3 linked regions of the Stegostoma tigrinum genome follow. The protein of the gene in region 2 interacts with the protein of the main gene of each other region in a biochemical or structural test. Links are inferred from orthologs where the notes say so. Each region holds a gene or a part of one and is shown on either strand. Other genes may lie near its edges.

Region 1 (7,124 bases), on a different chromosome or scaffold from region 2:
CTAAAACTCTCTCAATGCAAACAAATTCTCATTTGCACTCCAGGAACTCTCTCACACTGATTTGTTTTTAAATTCACAGTTCCAGCTTTCCACTTGTTTCAAAATCCAAGTTCTAAAATAATTTGAATTTACATATGAAAAAGACTTCCATCACGATATTTTGAAACAAACAAGCCTTCATATGCACAACTTTTTATGTATTTTGAAACAGTTGCAGCTTTTAAACTATGCTCAGGTGATGTATCTCACTACAATTGATGTTACGAGTAAGAAAATAAACATTTGACCAAGAAAATTATTTTTCCCCTTTCTAAAGAACTGGAAAATACAATGATGTTCCTCTTCACAAGGTACTGTAACAAGTTTGGTCTTTCAAATCACTATCAATGCATAACCTCTAAAATGCAGTATCCTTCCTCATTCTTGTAAAGCAATTAAAATATTACATCTTCTGCTTCTGGTTTCAAAATCAGTTTACTTAAAATTCAGCTTTAAAATCTGGGAAAACTGAAGTTACATTCAGCCAGGATTGCCCACATAACAGTCTTAAAATTCACAATTATGAACTGTACTTCCTCCTTTCAAACAAAACTATTTTCCAAATTCTTAAATTTACAATATAAAAAGTACACAATTCATGATGTTTTTAGTAATAATCTTAATGCATCTTAAAAGAGACATAACTTTGAAGCCATTTGTAATATTTAGCGCTAGGAACTGAGAAAAACATCCATGATGGGATGGTACAGTAATAAAGTACATTAGTTTACCTGATTGTTTCAGCTGACATGCAGAATTTTTCTATTTTTTCGATGCAGCTTTACCACAGTTTAACACTGAAAGGCAGAAAGAAATAACTCAGATATATAACGAACTGATAGTGAACAACGTAAGTGGATAAATTTTAAAAACATAATGAATAAAGAATAGTCACAAAATCACTCGGCAGAAAAGTGATCAAAGGGAGAGAAAACAGAAAAGGAGTCAATTACTGGAGTAAGACAACATAAATTCAAAGTTAAAAGGCAGGGAAAATGTGTTCCTGATTTTTTTCCCCCAAAAATGTATGTTGTGCGCAGAAAGAAATGATGACTCAAGAAAAACAAAATATGCATGACATTTTCATAAATAATTGTTGATACGATTTGAAGCATTATGTTATCTTTAAAAGGTATTGTTTAGTCCAACTGAATACAGCACCAGATTTAACTTGATCTGGGCCAATATTTTCTCCATTCTCAAAAACAAAATGAATTTTCACTTAATATTCCAGGAATTAAAAATTCCTGATGCCAAACACAGCATTGACTTTGGAACAATCCATTTACAGGGTTATGAGAGGCTAACATGTAGAGTTGTCTGGCACTTGTTGTATCACTAATAGAAACTAAAACATCAGTAAGTGAGTAATATTGTGATTTTGCTGAGAACTGAAACAAACCCTAGCAGCATTGTCTTGTGTCAAAATGATCAAACCTGAAATAATGTTCAATCGTTTATTATAACCACAAGTGGCAGAGTTGGTTCCACATTGCAATACAGAACAGGTATTGAAATACCCAAAATTAAAATAGCTACTGACTGCATCATGGGGAAGACATAGGGTTACCAGAGTTCTCCACCATTTTAGTATTGTTTTGAATATACATAATGATTTGGGAAAATCTAAGTTCAACAAATTAAATGTAAAAACATTGCAGTTCAACCAATAAACAGCATGCATCATGTCTCCCCAGTTAAGAACTGTTTCATCACACTGTCAGCAAACAGCCCACCCTTGTCATAAGGCATCTCCAGATTTACTTGTTTATTTCCTTTATGTAAAACTTTTCAATGATAAACCACATCGATTGTGATTAAATCTGGTTAACGTTTCATTCAAATTAGATGTAGCTAATCAACAACATGGAAATGCAAAAAAAACTCCACATGCCGAATCAAAATTGCATAAGTAAATAGAATGGTCTACTGTCAAGTTTGGATTTAAAACATGGCACAACGCAGTTTCCATAAATAATCCTTTGTTAAAGGGTTACAAGCCAACATACAATATTTGCAAAGATTAATTGCTGCTACATTGTACTTATTGCGTGCAAATGTAAAGTAAATGCACTATTCTGTGACAAAATGCTAGTTGAGCACTAAACCTTCAACAGAAACTGATAAATACATTAATCATGCGTCCAGAACTCTTCCCTTTAACACAGCCATCCCACTTCCTGTTAGCGGCCGCTGAAGAACAACAGCTCAGTTAATAAGTGCTATCTCCTACATTTTGTGCCTTTTTGGGGGGGGGGGGGGGGGGGAAGCGCGGTGGAGAAAGACGAGTCAGGCGTTAACAATCCATTTCCCTCGGAACAGACTGCTCTTCTAAAAGACTTAATACAGAAGCCCAAAAGCCTTGTATGCTTTCAATACATGATCCATTTGGAAATCAGTAACTGCCACATCCCTGTGTCACACTGATTGTGGATAAGATTCAGCAGCCTGGGAGACAAAAATCCACAGGATTTCATCTGTCACTGTGCCTTTTGTCTCTTGGTGTGAGGCTGGGAAAACACAGCACGTCAAACAGCATCAGACAAGCAGGAAAGTCAACATTTCGGGCCCAAACCCCCTCTTGTCAAAATGCTTCGTTTTATTTCCACCTGTTAAATTACTTGGTAACTCAAGACTTGCTGCAAGTTTCAGCTTGGCATTTTGTTGACGGGGTGTCTAGGCCTGCTACAAATAAAAAGGAATACAAGACATACTGTACCTGCGGCAATAAAAGTTTCCAGACTGACAACCCCAACTTTCTGACACCACGACCTACGGCTGGGACATTCTTAATTCCGTCAACGCCACGAACACGGCGATCTTTGATCCACTTTTTACTTCAAATACAATGTCAAAAAAAACCTGTCGATTCGATGATTTTTCTTGACGCACTTCGGCCGAAAAGATTTTTTTTAAAAAGTGATCCCCTCCCCCTCCTTCAGGAGCTCTACAACCGACGGTGCTGACCACGAATGACAGCCTGCTCGACGAATCAACGGACGGCCTGTTTCCTGGGACATCCCGCCTCCCGCTTGGTTTCGACCAATCGGAGCGAGGAAGGGGGCGGCAAGTTCTGTTGAGGTGTACCACGCCCCCCGCACGGCAGTGCCGCCCGCTGCCTCCCTCCCTCCGGATTCACGCACGCGCCTGTAGAATCGCGTGGCACCGGAAGCGCTGATCGGTGGGAGGATAGAGCGCTCCGTGGAACAGCCGGCGCTGCGAAGTCATCTGAGTTCCTGGCAGCGATGACGTCTTCACATTTGCGAGCCAGTGCCAGAGCCCAAATTGATGGGAGTTTTGCTGTCAATCAAATGACTAAACCTTTTATTTCCCCTCCACGCTTAAAAAAAGGAAAGCAGGCAATTGCTTGTGGTTTAATGCAATATTTTGCATATTTCTCATCACTTTGAAAAACTACATTATGATTGCTGAAATTATAATGGGCTTTTGAAACTAAAACTAACAATATTGTCTCAATTTCCTTTGCATGAATAGAATTATTACACTGCTAAGTTAGGACCCAGGATGGGAAATAAAAAAAACAAATTGCTCGTAAATCTCAGCAGGTCTGGCAACATCTGTGGAGAGAAATTAGTTAACATGCGGGTTCGGTGGTCCTTGCTCAGGATGTGAAAATTGCTGATGATCCCTTATAAGCAAAGAAAGGTTTTTTTGTGATACGCAGCAGTGAGGATAAAATCTGCAAACAGGTCTATACCTGTCTTTGTACCCATGCATTTCCATTAAAGCAAAGGAAAATCAGAAATTATCAGAGAAATGTGCACGAAATGCTTAGGAGGCTAGCCAACATTTGTTGGCAAGTAGAAATTCGCGTTTGTCATCAATGACCTTTCGTGAAGTTGAAACTTTTTGCATCACCCCGCCCCCACTATTTCATTCTCATATCGGAACGGCGAAGATACCTACCATTCGTAATTATTGCAATTTCGTGATTTGCTCAATCCAAGCTGAATTTAGAAGTTCATCCTTCTCTTAAACACCTTATCATCCAGTGCTCAAAAATAATAAATACGTCTATTTTTGCAATGCTAGATGGACATTTTACCGGGACTGTAGGTTAGTACGTTCGGATACAAAATAACAGGTTATTGTTGTGGGGGAGATTTGTTGTTATGTGTTATTTAAATCTCCTGCAGCAGCCAATGAGGCAATATTTGCATTAAGTTCTTAATATCGTCTGTTCCAGTAAATTAACCCACTCAAAATTCCCCGCAGGCAGGAATATTTCATCACAAATGTAGCTTATAGTACAATAAAAACAGGATATATTGTCAGAACACAGCAGGACTGTCAACAATGAAAGAGATTAGATCAATCAACAGACCTCTGTCAGACTTCTCCTGACAATTGCCATGTTTTCCAAACTTCCAGAATTTGAATAGAAAATTAAAATCAACTCTTGAGATTATGAGGCCAGACAGCATCAGTGGAGAAGGAAAGTTGACGTTTCGGGTCAGGGCCCTTCTTCAGAAACAGAGAGGGGGAAGGGAGCTAGGAAATAAATTGAGTGGAGAGGTGAGGCTGGGGAAGGTAGGTGGGATGGTGATAGGCACCCTCAAAAAAACTAAAGACAGAATCTCCCTTGTCCTCACATATCACCCCACCAACCTCCAAAGTATCATTCTCCATCATTTCCACCACCTACAATCTAACCCCACAACCCAAGATATGTGTCCCTTCCCACCTTATCTACCTTTCGTATGGACCACTCTCTCAGTGACTCTCTCATCCAATCTACACTTCCCACTAGCCCCACCACCCACTGCACTTTTCCCTTCAACCGCAGCAAGTACTATATCTGTCCCCATATCTCCCCCTTCACCTCCATTCAAGGCCCAAAACAAACCTTTCATATCAGACAGTGGTTCACCTGCACACCCTTCAACTTGGTCTACTGTATGCGCTGCTCCCGATTGGGCTCCTGTACATCAGTGAGACCAAGCATAGGCTCAGAGACCATCTCGTAGAGCATCCGCGTTTTGTACGTGACAAACGTCAATACCTTACGGTTGGCAACCATTTTAACTCACCCTCCCACTTCCTTGGGGACATGTCAATCCTGGGTCTCTTCCAGCGTCACAATGACACCACCCGCAAACTGGAAGAGCAACACCTCATATTCTGCCTCAGGAGCCTACAGCCCAATGGTCTAAACATGGAATTCACCATTTTTAAAATCTCCCCACACCCGGCCTCATTCAAAGTCCAACTCTCCATCTTATCCCCTTGACCTGACATAACCTGTCCATCTTCTCTTCCACCTATCCATCTCTCCTACCTCACTGACCAATCCCCACCACTCCCTACTCAACTATCACTATCCTATCTACTTTCCCCAGCCCCACCCCTCCTATTTATTTCCCAGCTCCCTCCCCCCTCCTCATTTCTGCAGAAGGGTCCCAACCGGAAATGTCAACTTTCCTGCTCCTCTGATGCTGCCTGGCCTGCTGTGTTCCTCCAGCTCCACACTGTTGTCTCTGACTCCATCTGCAGTTCTTGCTATCTCTGATATTATGATTTGTTTCCTTTAGCCTTCTTTGGCTCATTGTCATATTTTCTTTTGGCAATTCTAATGTTTAATCTTGGGACCTTTTTAGTATTCTTTAGGTGCAGCATGGATGCAATTTGTTTTTAGTGCTGTGTTTGCTAGTAAATACAGCTGGCTATGATCCTTGAGTTTCCTGGAATTCCAGATCCAGTTGCATCATTAGAGTACCCACTGGGGCTAATGCTTCTCTGGAAGAATTTAGTGGGTGCATGCATACAGACATTTCTGCCTCAGTGTATAATCAGTAGTTACGTTTTAGGTTAGTCACAGGAGACCTTAACAATATGATATAAAATGGTTCAGAGTTTAGAATGAACAATCACAATTACGAAACTTAACTGTTTAGCTGTAGTGAACTCGTCTGATATTGTCTGCCTACTGGCAGTTAGCAGGCTTCTGAATACATTTTTAAACACTTACTGGTACAGTTATTATAGAAGCATTTTTTTCATCTCTCCTTTACTGACAGAACTGACTGATACTGACTGGAATATGGTCACAAAGCACCACACTTATGATTCTTTATGCCTATGTTGCATAGCTCATGTTGCAGTCTGGTACGACAGATTGGCTTGCTAGGTAATTTCAGTGAGTAGCTCAGACACAAGCACATTATTGTGGGTCTGGTACCATCACAGGCCAGACCATATAAGTGGAGACAGACAAACCATAAAAGTTTTTCAATCAACCTCCATGGACATGTTATAACTCACCTCCAGAACAGGTAGAACTAGAACTAAGATCTTCTGGTCCAGAGATATGGGCACTACCACAGGTCATAAGACCCTCAGATGGGGTTTTTATGAAAATTTATGATAGCTTCATAAATGACAGCAACTGAGACAAACTTCCAATTTTAGATTTTTTAACCATTTGAATTTTAATGTCAGCGCATGTTGTGTGTAAAATTTAAACCCACATTCCCAGATCAACTCGGGCCTCTGAATTATTACCTAAGTTCTGTGAAACTCAAACTTACATCATGAAAACATGTAAGTAGAGATACATATAACTGTTACAATCTTACCAAAGGGAAAATTACATCTGGTTTTGGCACTGATACTTCCCATTAAAAACAGGCTCGGTTGCAAATGTTTAGAAATAGACACTGATGAAGGTTTTGATCATTTATAGACCTTTAAGGACAAGAATTATAAAAGAAAAAGTATCTGTTAAATGCATACGAGGCATTCATAGCATTTGTTTTTATAAACTCAGTTGATTTACAGTGTACAAAATCCAGCCATTATTGTATTCCATTAATCAAGACTATCTCCTCTAATCAAAATGTTAAACAGGTGCGATTGGTATCAACTGAAAGAAGTTTAAAGGAGAAAATGCTAGTTTCCTTAAAATTTCATTGGCATCCATTTTCTCATTGATTAAAAATGCAAGTAAAGAATGAATACACTAAAAATTTGAAGGTGATCAGAGGTAAATGTAACATATGTGAAAAGAATAGGAGGACATCATCATGACCCACAGTGAATCTCATTTTAGCAATATACATTTCAAA
Region 2 (7,111 bases):
TCATAAACTGTGATGGTGGGGACCACTGCAGGAGGCAGAGATGGATCACTCACACGGAACTTCTAGCTGAAAATTGCTGCAAATACTTCAGCTTTATCTTCTGCACTCTTGTGCTTGACCTGTGTAGGTCCCCAAACCACACCTCTTCCTCCGTTACATTGATGAATGTATCGGCGCTGCCTCTTGTTCCCCAGAGGAGCTCGAACAGTTCATCCACTTTACCAACACCTTCTACCCCAACCTCAAGTTCACCTGGGCCATCTCCAACACATCCCTCACCTTCCTGGGCCTCTCAGTCTCCATCTCAGGTAACCAGCTAGAAACTGATGTCCATTTCAAGCCCACTGACTCCCACAGCTACCTAGAATACATCTCCTCCCACCCACCCTCCAGCAAAAATTCCATCCCCTATTCCCAATTCCTCCGCCTCCACCACATCTGCTCCCAAGATGAGGCATTCCACTCCCGCACATCCCAGATGTCATGTTCTTCAAGGACTGCAACTTTCCCCCCTCAGTGGTTTAGAACGCCCTTGACCGCGTCTCCCGCATTTCCTGCAACACATTCCTCACACCCCGCCCCTGCCACAACCGTGCCCAGAGGATCCCCCTCATTCTCACATACCACCCCACCAACCAACGTATCATCCTCCGTCACTTCCGCCATCTGCAATCCGACCCCACCACCCAAGCTATTTTTCCATCCACACCCTTATCTGCCTTCCGGAGAGACCACTCTCTCCGCGACTCCTTTGTCCGCTCCACACTCCCCTCCAACCCCACCACACTTGGCACCTTACCCTGCAACCGCAGGAAGTGCTACACTTGCCCCCACACCTCCTCCCTCACCCCTATCCCAGGCCCCAAGATGACCTTCCATATCAAGCAGATGTTCACCTGCACATCTGCCAACGTGGTATATTGTATCCATTGCACCCGGTGTGGCTTCCTCTACATTGGGGAAACCAAGCGGAGGCTTGGGGACCGCTTTGCAGAACACCTCCGCTGGGTTCGCACCCAAAACCAGCCCAGCTCATCCCCTCCCCCCACTGCATCCAAAACCAGCCCAGCCTGTCTCTGTTTCCCTAACCTGTTCTTCCTCTCACCCATCCCTTCCTCCCACCTCAAGCTGCACCTCCATTTCCTACCTACCACTTCATCCCGCCTCCTGGACTGACCAATCCCCTCCCCACCTCCTCACCTATACTCCCCTCTCTACCTATCTTGTGTTCTCTCCATCTTCGGTCCGCATTCCCCTCTCTCCCTATTTATTTCCAGTTCCCTCTCCCCATCCCCCTCCCTGATGAAGGGTCTAGGCCCGAAACGTCAGCTTTTGTGCTCCTGAGATGCTGCTTGGCCTGTTGTGTTCATCCAGCTCCACACTTTGTTATCTTGGATTCTCCAGCATCTGCAGTTCCCATTATCAGTGCCTAATGAATGCCCAGTCTTGAGTTGCTAGATCTGTTTGAAGTCTGTCCCACTTAGCACAATGGCGGTGCCACACAATGTGTTATTCTCAACATGATCGCAGGACTTCGCCTCCCAAAGAACTGTGAGGTGGTCACTCTTACCAATACTGTCACGGGCCAATACATCTGTAGCTGACAGATTGGTAAGCACAAGGTCAAGGCATTTTTCCCCCTCTTGTTGGTTCCGTCACCGCCTGCTGCAGACCCAATCTAGCAGCTACGTCCTTTTGGACCCATCCAACTCAGTCATACTACTGCCAAGCCACTCTTGCAGGTGAACGTTGTGGGTGAGGGGTTTCAGTCAGCTGGATTTTACAACATTTTTTTAATTACCAGGCCAGTGACATGAACACAATGTTGCTGCCTCCCCTCAAATGATCATGTCACCCGCTAACCAATCAAGCCCTCAAAAGGTGACACAGATCAAACAGACCAACAGAAAGTCAAGAAACAATAACTTTTAAGCAGTGTCTAATATAATTGTCCCAAGGCACTTCATAAGAACACCATCCTTTAATTTGCTGCAGTAGGACTTGTAAGGATCTATAAAGGAGCATCATGAAGTAGAGTTACAACAATTCAAAGTATTTATATTGCCAGGAATGCCACTGTCTCTCAATTTTTTTTTCCTTCTACCTTGTTCATCTCACAAATGTAGTTTAACAAAGAGAAAGCTTGTCTCAAAAGAGTCTTATATTTGGCTAAGCAGTCTTTAAATAAGGACAAAAAAGCTATTAGAGATAAGTTTGCAACTTAGAAAATAAATGTTAAAACCAACCAACAGACATGTTCCAAATATATAAAAGATTTTGAAATAACAGGCCTATCGGACTCATTAAAAGTAATAGTATACACCCCTGTTTAAAAAAAAAACACCTTTTCACATTTTTCGCCTCTAATGTGTAAATAGAACACTCAGAATGTCCTCGTGTCTTTATTGAATTATGGTAATGTTTTCTATTTCTGTGAAACAGATGATCTACCATAGGTAACCAAGCTATTTAAAAATCGAAAGAACTGCGAATGCTGTAAATCAGAAACTAAAATAGAAATTGCTGAAAAAGCTCAGCAGGTCTGGCAGCATCTGCGGTGAGAAATCAGAGTTAACGTTTCGGGTCGAGTTCCGAAGAAGGATCACTCGATCCGAAACACTGGGTCTGATTTCTCTCCACCGATGCTGCCAGATCTGCTGAGCTTTTTCTAGCATTTTCTGTTTTTGCAATCAGGCTGCTTGTTGGGGTGTTACGTTCTGTCTAAATGCTGGAGTTTTTTTTCTGAAATGCGTTTCTTTGCTCATCAGTTAGAGATACTGTCTGACAATGAATTATAAATGATAATAAACCCAAAATCTATCAAACTTCAATTCTGGAACATACACCAGAAAACTTACAAATAGCACCGAAAGATATTTTTATAACCTAGCCGCTTGGAATTTTACACTTAAATAATCATAACGGATAACCATCCAAGTATACTTACTCTCTTGTTGTATTACAATAAATAAAGCATAAATTCTTCACTTCAAAGTAAATTGACAATTCTACTCCATATAAGCTGCCATATTGAAAGGAAATAAAATGATCTTCAGGCACAGCGCGCAGGTGATTGACATCTGTGTGAACCAATCAGGTGCGCTACCATGTGCTGGAGGGCGGCTCACCATGACGTTAGTGAAAGCGAGTCGCAGTCATCAATGCGCATGTGGGTGTGCGCGAGGAATTCCGTTACAGTCGCGCGGACCGGTCTCCTCCCACTCTCCAGACGGTTGAGCATTTGCGCATGTGTAGCATGTCGGTTTGAGGTCGTGACTTTCCTGCGATGTGGGCTTGTTGGCAGATGGCGGTTGTCAGCCGGTGATTACTGGAGAGTAGGTGAGACGGGCCGAGGATGAAAGAGAATGGGGAGGCTAAGCAGATGGAAGTGGACGCCGAGTCGAGAATGCAGATCCCCGCTGTGGACAGGGAAGTGGTGCAGGGTCTCGGCAGGAGCTTGAAGCAGAAGTGCGCCGCGTATGTGCTTGCACTGCGGCCCTGGAGCTTCAGCGCCTCGCTTACCCCTGTTGCCCTGGGTACGGCCCTGGCTTACAAGAATCTGGGCGAGCTCGATCTGACCATTTCCCTACTGGCTGCCTTGGCCGTGCTGGCCGTACACGCAGCCGGTAACCTAGTGAACACTTATTACGACTTCAGCAGGGGCATCGATCATAAGAAGAGCGACGACCGGACCCTGGTGGACCGGATCCTAGAGCCACAGGACGTGGTGCGGTTCGGAGCCTGCCTCTACACTCTGGGCTGCCTCTGCGCCTGTTCCCTCTACTTTTTGTGCAAACTCAAACTTGAGCACTTAGCTCTGATCTTTTTCGGTGGCCTATCCAGCTCTTTTCTGTACACGGGAGGTAAGTAAGAAGGAAAAGAAGCAGGATGTTCCCTTATTTCAGTTTAGACCTTTAGCTGGAGACGATTCACTTATTTTGCTCTGAAGAAGAATCGCCAGGCTCGAAGAGATAACTCTGTTTTCGCTCCGCAAATACTACGAGACTTGTTGAATTGCTCTGGCAATTTCTCTTTTTGTCTCAGATTTCCAGCATGAGCAGTTGTTAATTGTAATATTTTGTCGTTGTGTTGTTTTGTTATAGAGTCATGCAGAACAAAAACAGATCCTTCGGTCCAACTTGTGTTGCGTCAACCAAACATCTCAATCTGATTTAGTCCTATTTGCCAGCATTTAGCTCATATCCCTCTAAACTCTTACTCACACACCCATCCAGATGCCTTTTAAATGTTGTAATTGTACCTGCTTTCTCTACTTGCACTGGTAACTCCGCACCACTCTGCGTGAAAAAGTTATGCCTTAGGTACTCTTAACTCTTTCCCCTATCACCTTAAATCTACGCCCTCTAGTTTTGAACTCCCCAACAGTAGGGAAAAGACCCCTCTATCCTCTATCCATCCATTTCTATTAACTCACTTTTGCTGCTTGCTGTTTTGGAAAAATAGTTTTGAAAGTGATACGGCTGGTTTCTGTTCATGCCTAGATGCCTAATAAGCTATCTGAAAACCACATGTATTAACTTGATGTGTTTTTAAAAATATGAATTTTGGAAATCTGAAACTGTGTGGGTAAATCAGTATGAATGTGAGAGAGAGACAATTTTCATCAGAGCTGAATTATTTTTATTTCAAAAGAAATAGTGATTGGCAAATAATGTTGCTGTCTCCTTTGCTTGTTTTCATTTGTAACTTCCCTAGTTTGACTTTGTTACCTATTGCCACAGAAGGAAATGAGATGCAGAATGGCTCAAATATGTCTATTGTTAAGAATGACCAATTTCTATCTCGTAGTTTAACTGACAATTGCCTTTTTTTCTGTAATTATTCTTGTGATTAAAAGGCAAATTCTGCATAATAACACATTTTTCTACATTTAATTGTAAGAGAAATTGTCTCACATCCCATAGTAAGCTGAGAGTAACATACCTGATTCAAAGGAGGAGAGGCTTGAAAACTTCAAATTCTGGGCTAAGAGGTATTCTGAAAAATAGAATAAGAAAAAAGACAAGAGGGAGGTGGCAGTATTGATCAAACAAATTATTTCACTCTCTAGAAAGGCATGACGCACATGGATTTAGGATAGTCTTTTCATAGAATTGAGGCACGGCTTGCTGCCAAGTGTATATACTAGGCACCAGACCAAAGGAGGTAGAAGAGCAAACAGCAGAAATTTTCATGAACTGGAAAGTAGTAATAATGACACCTTTTCATGAACTGGAAAGTAGTAATAATGACATCTCCTACCGCCCCCTCGATCATGACCCCACACCCGAGCACCAAACCATCATCTCCAACACCATTCACGACCTCATCACCTCAGGGGACCTCCCACCCACAGCCTCCAACCTCATTGTTCCCCAACCCCGCACGGCCTGTTTCTATCTCCTTCCCAAAATCCACAAACCTGCCTGCCCTGGTCGACCCATCGTCTCAGCCTGCTCCTGCCCCACCGAATTCATCTCCACCTATCTGGACTCCATTTTCTCCCCTTTGGTCCAGGAACTCCCCACCTACGTCCGTGACACCACCCACGCCCTCCACCTCCTCCAGGACTTCCAATTCCCTGGCCCCCAACACCTCATATTCACCATGGACGTCCAGTCCCTGTACACCTGCATTCCGCATGGAGATGGCCTCAAGGCCCTCCGCTTCTTCCTGTCCTGCAGGCTCGACCAGTCCCCCTCCACTGACACTCTCATCCGCCTAGCTGAACTCGTCCTCACACTCAACAACTTCTCTTTTGACTCCTCCCACTTCCTACAGACTAAGGGGGTGGCCATGGGCCCCAGCTATGCCTGCCTCTTTGTAGGTTATGTGGAACAGTCCCTCTTCCGCACCTACACAGGCCCCAAACCCCACCTCTTCCTCCGGTACATTGATGACTGTATCGGCGCCGCCTCTTGCTCCCCAGAGGAGCTCGAACAGTTCATCCACTTCACCAACACCTTCCACCCCAATCTTCAGTTCAACTGGGCCATCTCCAGCACATCCCTCACCTTCCTGGACCTCTGTCTCCATCTCAGGCAACCAGCTTGTAACTGATGTCCATTTCAAGCCCACCGACTCCCACAGCTACCTAGAATACACCTCCTCCCACCCACCCTCCTGCAAAAATTCCATCCCCTATTCCCAATTCCTCCGCCTCCGCCGCATCTGCTCCCACGATAAGACATTCCACTCCCGCACATCCCAGATGTCCAAGTTCTTTAAGGACCGCAACTTCCCCCCACAGTCATCGAGAACACCCTTGACCGCGTCTCCCGTATTTCCCGCAACACATCCCTCACACCCCGCCCCCGCCACAACCGCCCTAAGAGGATCCCCTTCGTTCTCACACACCACCCTACCAACCTCCGGATACAACGCATCATCCTCCGACACTTCCGCCATTTTACAATCCGACCCCACCACCCAAGACACTTTTCCATCCCCACCCCTGTCTGCTTTCCGGAGAGACCACTCTCTCCGTGACTCCCTTGTTCGCTCCACACTGCCCTCCAACCCCACCACACCCGGCACCTTCCCCTGCAACCGCAGGAAATGCTACACTTGCCCCCACACCTCCTCCCTCACCCCTATCCCAGGCCCCAAGATGACATTCCACATTAAGCAGAGGTTCACCTGCACATCTGCCAATGTGGTATACTGCATCCACTGTACCCTGTGCGGCTTCCTCTACATTGGGGAAACCAAGCGGAGGCTTGGGGACCGCTTTGCAGAACACCTCCGCTCAGTTCGCAACAAACAACTGCACCTCCCAGTCGCAAACCATTTCCACTCCCCCTCCCATTCTCGAGATGACATGTCCATCATGGGCCTCCTGCAGTGCCACAATGATGCCACCCGAAGGTTGCAGGAACAGCAACTCATATTCCGCCTGGGAACCCTGCAGCCATATGGTATCAATGTGGACTTCACCAGTTTCAAAATCTCCCCTTCCCCTACTGCATCCCTAAACCAGCCCAGTTCGTCCCCTCCCCCCACTGCACCACACAACCAGCCCAGCTCTCTCTCCCCCCCCCCCCCCCCCCCCCCCAACCCACTGCATCCCAAAACCAGTCCAACCTGTCTCTGCCTTCCTAACCGGTTCTTC
Region 3 (7,597 bases), on a different chromosome or scaffold from region 2:
AAACAGCCTCCAGTTTGAGAATTCCACAAGTTCACTTCAGGAAATTCACCACTTGTCTAAATGCACCCTCTTATGCTGAGATTAGTACGAGTGCAGGTTCAAGAACTGAACAGTCTATTCCTGCTCTTATGTCCCTATTGTTCCTACAAATTATGCTAGATTATCTCCACAACCAAAATAAAGGCTCAAGGGAGCTACATTAATTTCTCCTCATTAAAACAATTCTGAAGTCTCAAATAGCCATGACTGTGGTTAGCACTTGCCTCAGCACCAAAGGCTAGGTGTCTGTTGGTTTTTAAATCAGGTGCTCTTTTCCTTTTAAATGGAGTCCAAAGGTGCAGGTTAGGTCAACTGACCACACTAAATCACCTTGTCATGTCCAGGAGATTAGATTAGCCAACCATAACTGCAAGGTTACAGCATACATTTTTGAGAGAGATACTAAGCGTTGGCCATTTCTATACTGTAGAAATTCTGCAAGCACACAAGTTAAGCCTCAAAATTGTGCAGGTTCAGCTAAATTTTACAAATTGCATTGCATTATAACAGCCTATTTACTACACAGGACACTGCTGTTTGGCAAGATGCTAAATACTACATTACAAACCCACCGACTCCAACAGCTACCTGGACTATACTATACATCCTCACTCAACTTCCTGTTGAGACACCATCACATTCTGTCAGTTCCACTGTCATGTTCAGATAAGGCCAGCTTTGACGAGAGCCTCCAGGTGTCCACCTTCCTCAACAAGGATCCCACTGCTCCATTGTTGACATGGAGCTCAATTGGGTCCAACACCTCCCACATCTGTCCTCACCCCTTCTTCCCTCCCACTACAGGGATAGGGTCCCTCTTATCCTCACCTACCAGCATACAAATCCAGAAGACTGTCAGACACCATTTCCACCACCTCCAGCAAGACACCACCCCCCAACATTACCCTTGTCCACCACCTGCAGGGACTGTTCCCTCCAGGACACCCTGGTCCATACCTCCTTCACCCTCAACACCTCCCCTGTAACTGGCAAGGTGCAACACCTGCCCATTTACCTCCTCCTGCCCTTGTATCCAGCAGCCCAAACATATCTTCCAAGTGGAGCAACACCTCACCTGTACTTAAGAATCTAGTTGACTGCATTCACTGCTCACAATGTGGTCTCCTCTACACTGGGGAAAACAAAGCACAGACTTGGCAACTGCTTCACAGAAGCAGTATGTTCTGCTTGCAAAAGAGACCCTGAACTACCTGTTGCCTGCCACTGCAATGCACCACCTTGCTCCCTGGCGTTCTAGCTGAAGACCAGCACAAGCTGGAGGAGCCCCTCATTTTCTGCTTGGGGACCCCACAGCCCTCAATACCAAGTGCAATAATTTTAGGGCCTAAACACCCCATGTCCCAGCACCCCCAGCCCCCACACCTGGGGTTGTCAGCCCAGCCTACCATTACACACCCTGTTAGTCACTAACAGTCCCCATTAACAACTAGCCACGATCCCAACCTGATTAGCAACTCCATCTGTCAACTGTTTCTCTCTTTGGGCTCTATCCTATCATTTACTCCTACTTTCTGCATATTGCAGACATTTTCCCAGCCAGTTTTGATAAAGGGTCATCCAACCTAAAACATTAGGTTTTCTCCTTCACAGATGCTGCCAGACCTGCTGAGCTTTTCCAGCAACTTTGTTTTTGTTCCTAACATTTGCAGCATCCAGTTCTTATGTTAAATAAGCTTGCATTCAGAAAGCCTGAACACTGAAGTTGCAGTGTTGCCAGATACTAGCCCACACTTTCAAAACCATTAAGAGACTTGCTAGATGCAAGTGTGATAGACTGTCCCACTGGTGCAGCCCAGAATAAGCTACTGGGTACTAATCCTAGACACCAACAGCAATTGCTTAGAGGGCACAGGGTTGAGAAACTTAGGTTTAATGGTGTTCTACATTCCACCAGCCTAGAATCAGCTTCTGCAGCTTGGGGTAAACATTCATTTTTCCACAACACTACTAGTTCCAGTTAGAAACATCCACCCAAAACAATGGCATCATGTTAATGACTTCACTGACTTCGAGTTAGACACTACAGCAGCTCATGACTTAGTAGTAATTCATGAAATAGTTAACTCGTCCATTCTCTGCATCTTGGCAGAGCTGCAGACTTGTTCCTTGCTTTTTCCAAGATCAGACTCCAATATCTTTCAGGAGTCATTTGCATGAGGACAATTCTGCATCAGCAAAATGACTGGCACTGTTTTACCCACTCAGTGTAAAGAGTAGTCCGTTGGAAAGCCAGGCACTTGGAGCCACTTTCAAACAACATCCCCACCCTCCACTACAGCACCATCACCATTCCACAACATTCTTGCCCCCACTTTTCAACATTGTTGCATCGCCACGAAGCCCCACGCTGACCCCCACATCCTGATACAAGAACACCGCTGCCTTAATCGTTCACCAGCTTCCCCATGTCCCCTTCCCCACCCCCCCCCAAGCTACTACCACCAGTAGGTTAGTGGAGGTGCCGGGTCCGACCCCGGCCTTTCCAGTCCGGGTGCGGGGATGCGGGGGGTGCGCCTTACCTGGCGGACCCTGACAGCTCGGTGTGTCCGGTCCGGGATGCGGAGGCCTCTCTTTCTCTGCCGCTTCAAACGGAGACGGGCCGACTAAACACGGATTCTCTGTTGCTGCTGTTACTGGTGTCTAAGGCAGTGGCCGCCGCTCTCGAGGTGAGGAAACGCCGCGTATGGAAGGCGAGCGATCGCGGGGCACGGCGGCATGAAGAGGCCGGGCAGCGGGGACCGGGAGCGGCCTGGGGAACCATCACAGCCCGAGCTTCCGCACGCACGATCAGTGAACCCGAGACCGACTCTTAATAACCGTACTCCCGCCGGGTAAAGAAAATATATACGTTACAGACACAATCGAACGACCCTCCCCTAGACGAGCGGCCGCTTTAAACCCAAAACAACCGTCCGCGCCTTTTAAAGGCAGCTCCTCTCCCCTACCGACGGCTGATCTCCTCGTCTATTGGTCTTATGGGGCGGGGATCCGCCCACCGGCCACAAGGGGATTGGGTGATATTCACGTCAGTAAATACTTTGCCTATTTCTATTGGTGACCGGCGCAGTCAGTCGTAGAGGGGGGGCCGGGCGAACGTTGGAGCCGCACCTTTGAATCGCCGCCCGCGCCGTGACCGTTAGCCACGCCCTTCATTAACACGTTTAGAGAATCCGACGAACCCATTGGCCGTCGGCCCCGGGTCCCGCCCCACCCCTCATTGACGGACATGGGTTCTCCGCTGCTGATTGACTGGAAGTGCCGTCAGTAATCTGTATCCTAATAGGGCAGGGAAATTTTAACAAACAAAGGACCAACAGGAGGCCACTCTGCCCTTCGAAGCTATTCTCTGTTCAATAAGAAGGAGGAGTAGACGTTAGCCTGGTGGTATTATCGCCAGACTGTTAATTCAGAAATCCAGTAATGCCATGGTAGATGGTCGAGATTAAGTACAATAAAATCTGGAAGTAAAAATCTCATCATGACCCGTATTGATTGTTGAAAAAACCCCATTTTATTCAATGAGATAGTAAGAACTGCAGATGCTGGAGAATCTGAGATTACAAGGTGTGGAGCTGGATGAACACAGCAGACCAAGCAGCATCAGAGGAGCAGGGAGGCTGATGTTTCAGGTCTAGACCCTTCATCTTATTCACTTAAGTATTAGAGAAAGAAGTTGCCTGTTGTGACCAGAAAATGATGCCAGACCCAATGTGTCTGACACTTCAGTTAGGGGTGGGCAATAAATGTTGGCCTCACCAGCGACGTGCACATTCCATGAACGAATTTTTAAAAATCTCTGCCCTTCAAACCTGCTCATCCATTCATTAAGAACATACTAGAAACAGGAGGAGTAAACTACCTTGTGCTCCAGTGCTACATGCTATTCAGAGTAGAAATAGCTGATATGCAAATGAAGAAATGGTGCAAGAGGCAGGATTTCAGTTTTTTGGGACATTGGACCCAGCTCTGGGGGAGGTAGATGCTGTACAAGTTAGATAGATTGCATCTAGGCAGGACCAGAATCGATGTCCTCAATGGAGTATTTACTCAAGCTGTTTGGGAGAGTTTAATCTGAAATGCAAGGGGGGATGGGAACCTATAGAGGGAGACAGAAGAGAAGGAAGTGAGGGGCAAAAATAGAGGAAATGATAGGCGGAGAATTCAAGGGCATGAATCAAACAGAGCCACCATGCAAAGTAATGTGAGAATAGGACTAAGAATATTAAAAGGACAAGCCTTAAGGCATTGTGTCTTAATGTAAGGAGCATTTGCATCAAAGTGAGTGAATTAATCATGCAAATGGATGTCAATGGATATGATAGTGTTGGGGTTACAGAGCTGTGGCTACACGCTGCTAAGGGATGGGAACTGGGAGATTTTCCGTTTAAAGGAAGGATGGACAAAGAGTATGAGAATGCAGGGTAGCTTTGTTTGTTAAAGAGGCTTATCACAATGGTGAGGAAGGCTTTTCGCATGGTGAAGTGGAATCTGCACAGGTAGAGCTGAGAAACACCAAAGTTTTTTTTTCTTTATTCATTCATGGGCTCATTATGAAAAAAAGCTCAAACGAGCTGCAACTTCTGAAAATCAGAAACAAAACCAGGGCTTATTGGAAAATCTCAGCAAGGCTGGAAGCAGAGATGATGGGAACTGCAGATGCTGGAGAATCCGAGATAACGAAGTGTGGAGCTGGATGAACACAGCAGGCCAGGCAGCATCTTGGGAGCACTAAAGCTTCCAAGATAACAAAGTGTGGAGCTGGACTGGAAGAATCCGTGAAGAGAAAGCAGAGTTGGTGTTTCGGGACAGTTCTGAAGAAGGATCAATGGATCTCTAGATGCTGCCAGACCTGCTGGGTTTTTCCTCGCATTTGAGATAACAAGGTGTGGAGCTGGATGAACTCAGCAGGCCCAGCAGCATCTTAGGAGCAGGAAAGCTGACATTTCGGGCCTAAGAGTCTAGACTCGAAATGTCAGTTTTCCTGCTCCTAAGATGCTGCTGGGCCTGCTGAGTTAATCCAACTCCACACTTTGCTATCTCGGATTCTCCAGCATCTGCAGTTCCCATTATCTCTTTTCCTAGCATTTGCTGTTTTTATTATATCCTGGTTACCTGACATTGTTCATGGGGAAAATGCTCGAGTCCATTATCAAAGATTTAATAACACGGGAGTTTGAAAACAGTGACAGGATTGGACAGAGTCAGCGATAGTGGGAACTGCAGATGCTGGAGAATCCAAGATAACAAAGTGTGGAGCTGGATGAACACAGCAGCCAAGCAGCATCTCAGGAGCACAAAAGCTGACGTTTCGGGCCTAGACCCTTCATCAGCTTTTGTGCTCCTGAGATGCTGCTTGGCCTGCTGTGTTCATCCAGCTCCACACTTTGTTATCTTGGACAGAGTCAGCATTCATTTATGAAAGAGAATCGTGTTTGACTGCAAAACTTCAAGGATGTAACAAGTAAAGTTGATAAGAGGGAGTCAGTGGGTGTAGTTACATTTGAGTTCCAGGAGGCACTCAATAAGATCCTACGTAGGAGATTAGCATGCAAAATTAAACCACATTGAGGTAGTGTACTGACATACATAGAGAACAGGTAGGCAGACCAGAAACAAAGAACAGGGATAAATGGGACTTTTTCCAAGTCACAGTCAGTAACTATTGAAACACAAGATAATAAAATGTGAGGCTGGATGAACACAGCAGGCCAAGCAGCATCTCAGGAGCACAAAAGCTGAAGGGTCTAGGCCCGAAATGTCAGCTTTTGTGCTCCTGAGACCCTGCTTGGCCTGCTGCGTTCATCCAGCCTCACACTTTATTATCTTGGATTCTCCAGCATCTGCAGTTCCCATCATCTCTGAAACTATTGAAACACTGCAGGATCAGTGGTTAGATCCCAGCTGTTCACAGTATATATTAATGCTTTAGTTGAGGGAACTAAATGTAATGTCTCCAAGTTTGCAGATGAATGCAAAGTTAGGTGTGAGAGTGATCTTGTAAGGAGGATGTAGAAATGCTTCAGTGTGATTTGCCCAAGTTGAGTGAGTGAGTAAACACATGAAACATGTAGTGTAATATGGATAAACATCAGGTTATCCACTTTGGTAGGAAAAAAACAGACAGGTAGATTATTATCTGAATGGTGGTAGATCGTAAAAAGGGGAGTGTGCAACAAGACCTTGATGTCATTGTACACCTGCCAATGAAACTAAGCAGGTGCAGCGGGCAATGAAGAGGAATGTGTAACAGGATTAGACAGGGTAAATGCAGGAAGGATATTTCCAGTAACTCGGGAATGAAGAACCAGAGATCACGGTCTTAGGATATGGGATAGGCCATTTAGGACTGAGACACGGAAATATTTTTTCACCCAAAAAAATGGTGAGCCCGAGGAATTCACAGCAATAGCCAGTGGTTGAGGCCAAAGCATTGTATGTTTTCAAGAAATTATAAATAAACCGGTTGGACTATAACCTGGTGTTGTGTGATTTCTGACCTTATCCACCAACACTTCCATATCACATTTTCAAAAAAGGGCAAGATTCAGTTCTTTGGGTAAAGGGATCGAAGTGTATGAGGAGAAAGCAGGCAGAGGGTGCTGAGTTGGATGATCAGTCATGGTTGTAACGAATGGCGGATGAGGCTCGAAGGGTTGAATAACCTATTTTCCATGTTTCGAGAACTGAAACAGTCTTGATGTTTAACAGGTTCAAAACATGCTTGTTAAAATCTGAAAAATAAATCAACTTCCTACATCCGTACAAATTTCTTTCTCTCCACTAATATGACATGGACGGCACGGCGGCTCAGTGTTTAGCACTGCTGCCTCACAGCGCCAGGGACCCGGGTTCGATTCCATCCTCGGGCGACAGTGTGGAGTTTGCACATTCTCCCCGTGTCTGCGCGGGTTTCCTCCCACATTCCAAAGATGTGCAGGCTAGGTGGATCAGCAATGCTAAATTGCCCGTCGTGTTCAGGGATGTGTAGATTGGGTGGGTTATACGGGAATGCTCCAAGGGTGGATTTGGATTTGATGGCGTGAAAGGCCTGTTTCCACACTGTAGGGATTCAACAATGATGACACAATATTGACTTTATCATGATATACTTGTGAAAGCTAACTGCTTAAACTTTATTCTTTCATGGATCACAAGCACTGCTGTTTAGGCAATCCTAATTTGACCCCCATCCCTATTTACCCTTGGCAGGGAATTGGGAAGCTGCAGTCCTGACTGTTGCCGGAATTTGGGGTGTGACCACCATGTTGTTTGGAAGTGAGTTCCAGGATTTTGACCCAGTGAATCTGAAGGAACAGTGATATATTTCCAGATCAGAATAGAGCAAGCATCTGCTGCCTTTACACCTCTTAGTGTTACAGGTTGCGGGTTTAGAAGGAGATATCAAAAGTTTCTTTAGTGCACCTTGCATTGTCATCAATTATCCCTCCACTTGAGAATGATGTTTACTCAATGACAAGAGTTTCTCCCAAGGGTATTTTTCAGTCACTGGTTTTTAGATACGTGGGACAGTATGTCT

What was found. The genes of interacting proteins can lie anywhere in the genome.
Region 1: the proteins of mtor (region 2) and stat3 form a complex in vitro, tested with the Homo sapiens proteins (2 studies listed by BioGRID, with this or other methods). The link is inferred for Stegostoma tigrinum from reciprocal best matches to the Homo sapiens genes MTOR and STAT3.
Region 3: of the proteins of mtor (region 2) and repressor of RNA polymerase III transcription MAF1 homolog, one has a biochemical effect on the other in vitro, tested with the Homo sapiens proteins (2 studies listed by BioGRID and IntAct). The link is inferred for Stegostoma tigrinum from reciprocal best matches to the Homo sapiens genes MTOR and MAF1.

What each region holds. Positions count from the first base shown.
Region 1 is NC_081384.1:14,624,654-14,631,777, forward strand, and holds the start of stat3 (signal transducer and activator of transcription 3), read right to left. Parts: upstream 3,015-7,124; 5' UTR 2,759-3,014; intron 837-2,758; 5' UTR 771-836; intron 1-770. UniProt on the Homo sapiens protein: Signal transducer and transcription activator that mediates cellular responses to interleukins, KITLG/SCF, LEP and other growth factors. Once activated, recruits coactivators, such as NCOA1 or MED1, to the promoter region of the target gene.
Region 2 is NC_081381.1:39,046,181-39,053,291, reverse strand, and holds the start of mtor (serine/threonine-protein kinase mTOR), read right to left. Parts: upstream 3,048-7,111; 5' UTR 2,948-3,047; intron 1-2,947. Other genes in the region: ubiad1 (ubiA prenyltransferase domain-containing protein 1), read left to right, coding at 3,356-3,863. UniProt on the Homo sapiens protein: Serine/threonine protein kinase which is a central regulator of cellular metabolism, growth and survival in response to hormones, growth factors, nutrients, energy and stress signals.
Region 3 is NC_081355.1:159,834,958-159,842,554, reverse strand, and holds the start of repressor of RNA polymerase III transcription MAF1 homolog, read right to left. Parts: upstream 3,015-7,597; 5' UTR 2,580-3,014; intron 1-2,579. UniProt on the Homo sapiens protein: Plays a role in the repression of RNA polymerase III-mediated transcription in response to changing nutritional, environmental and cellular stress conditions to balance the production of highly abundant tRNAs, 5S rRNA, and other small non-coding RNAs with cell growth and maintenance.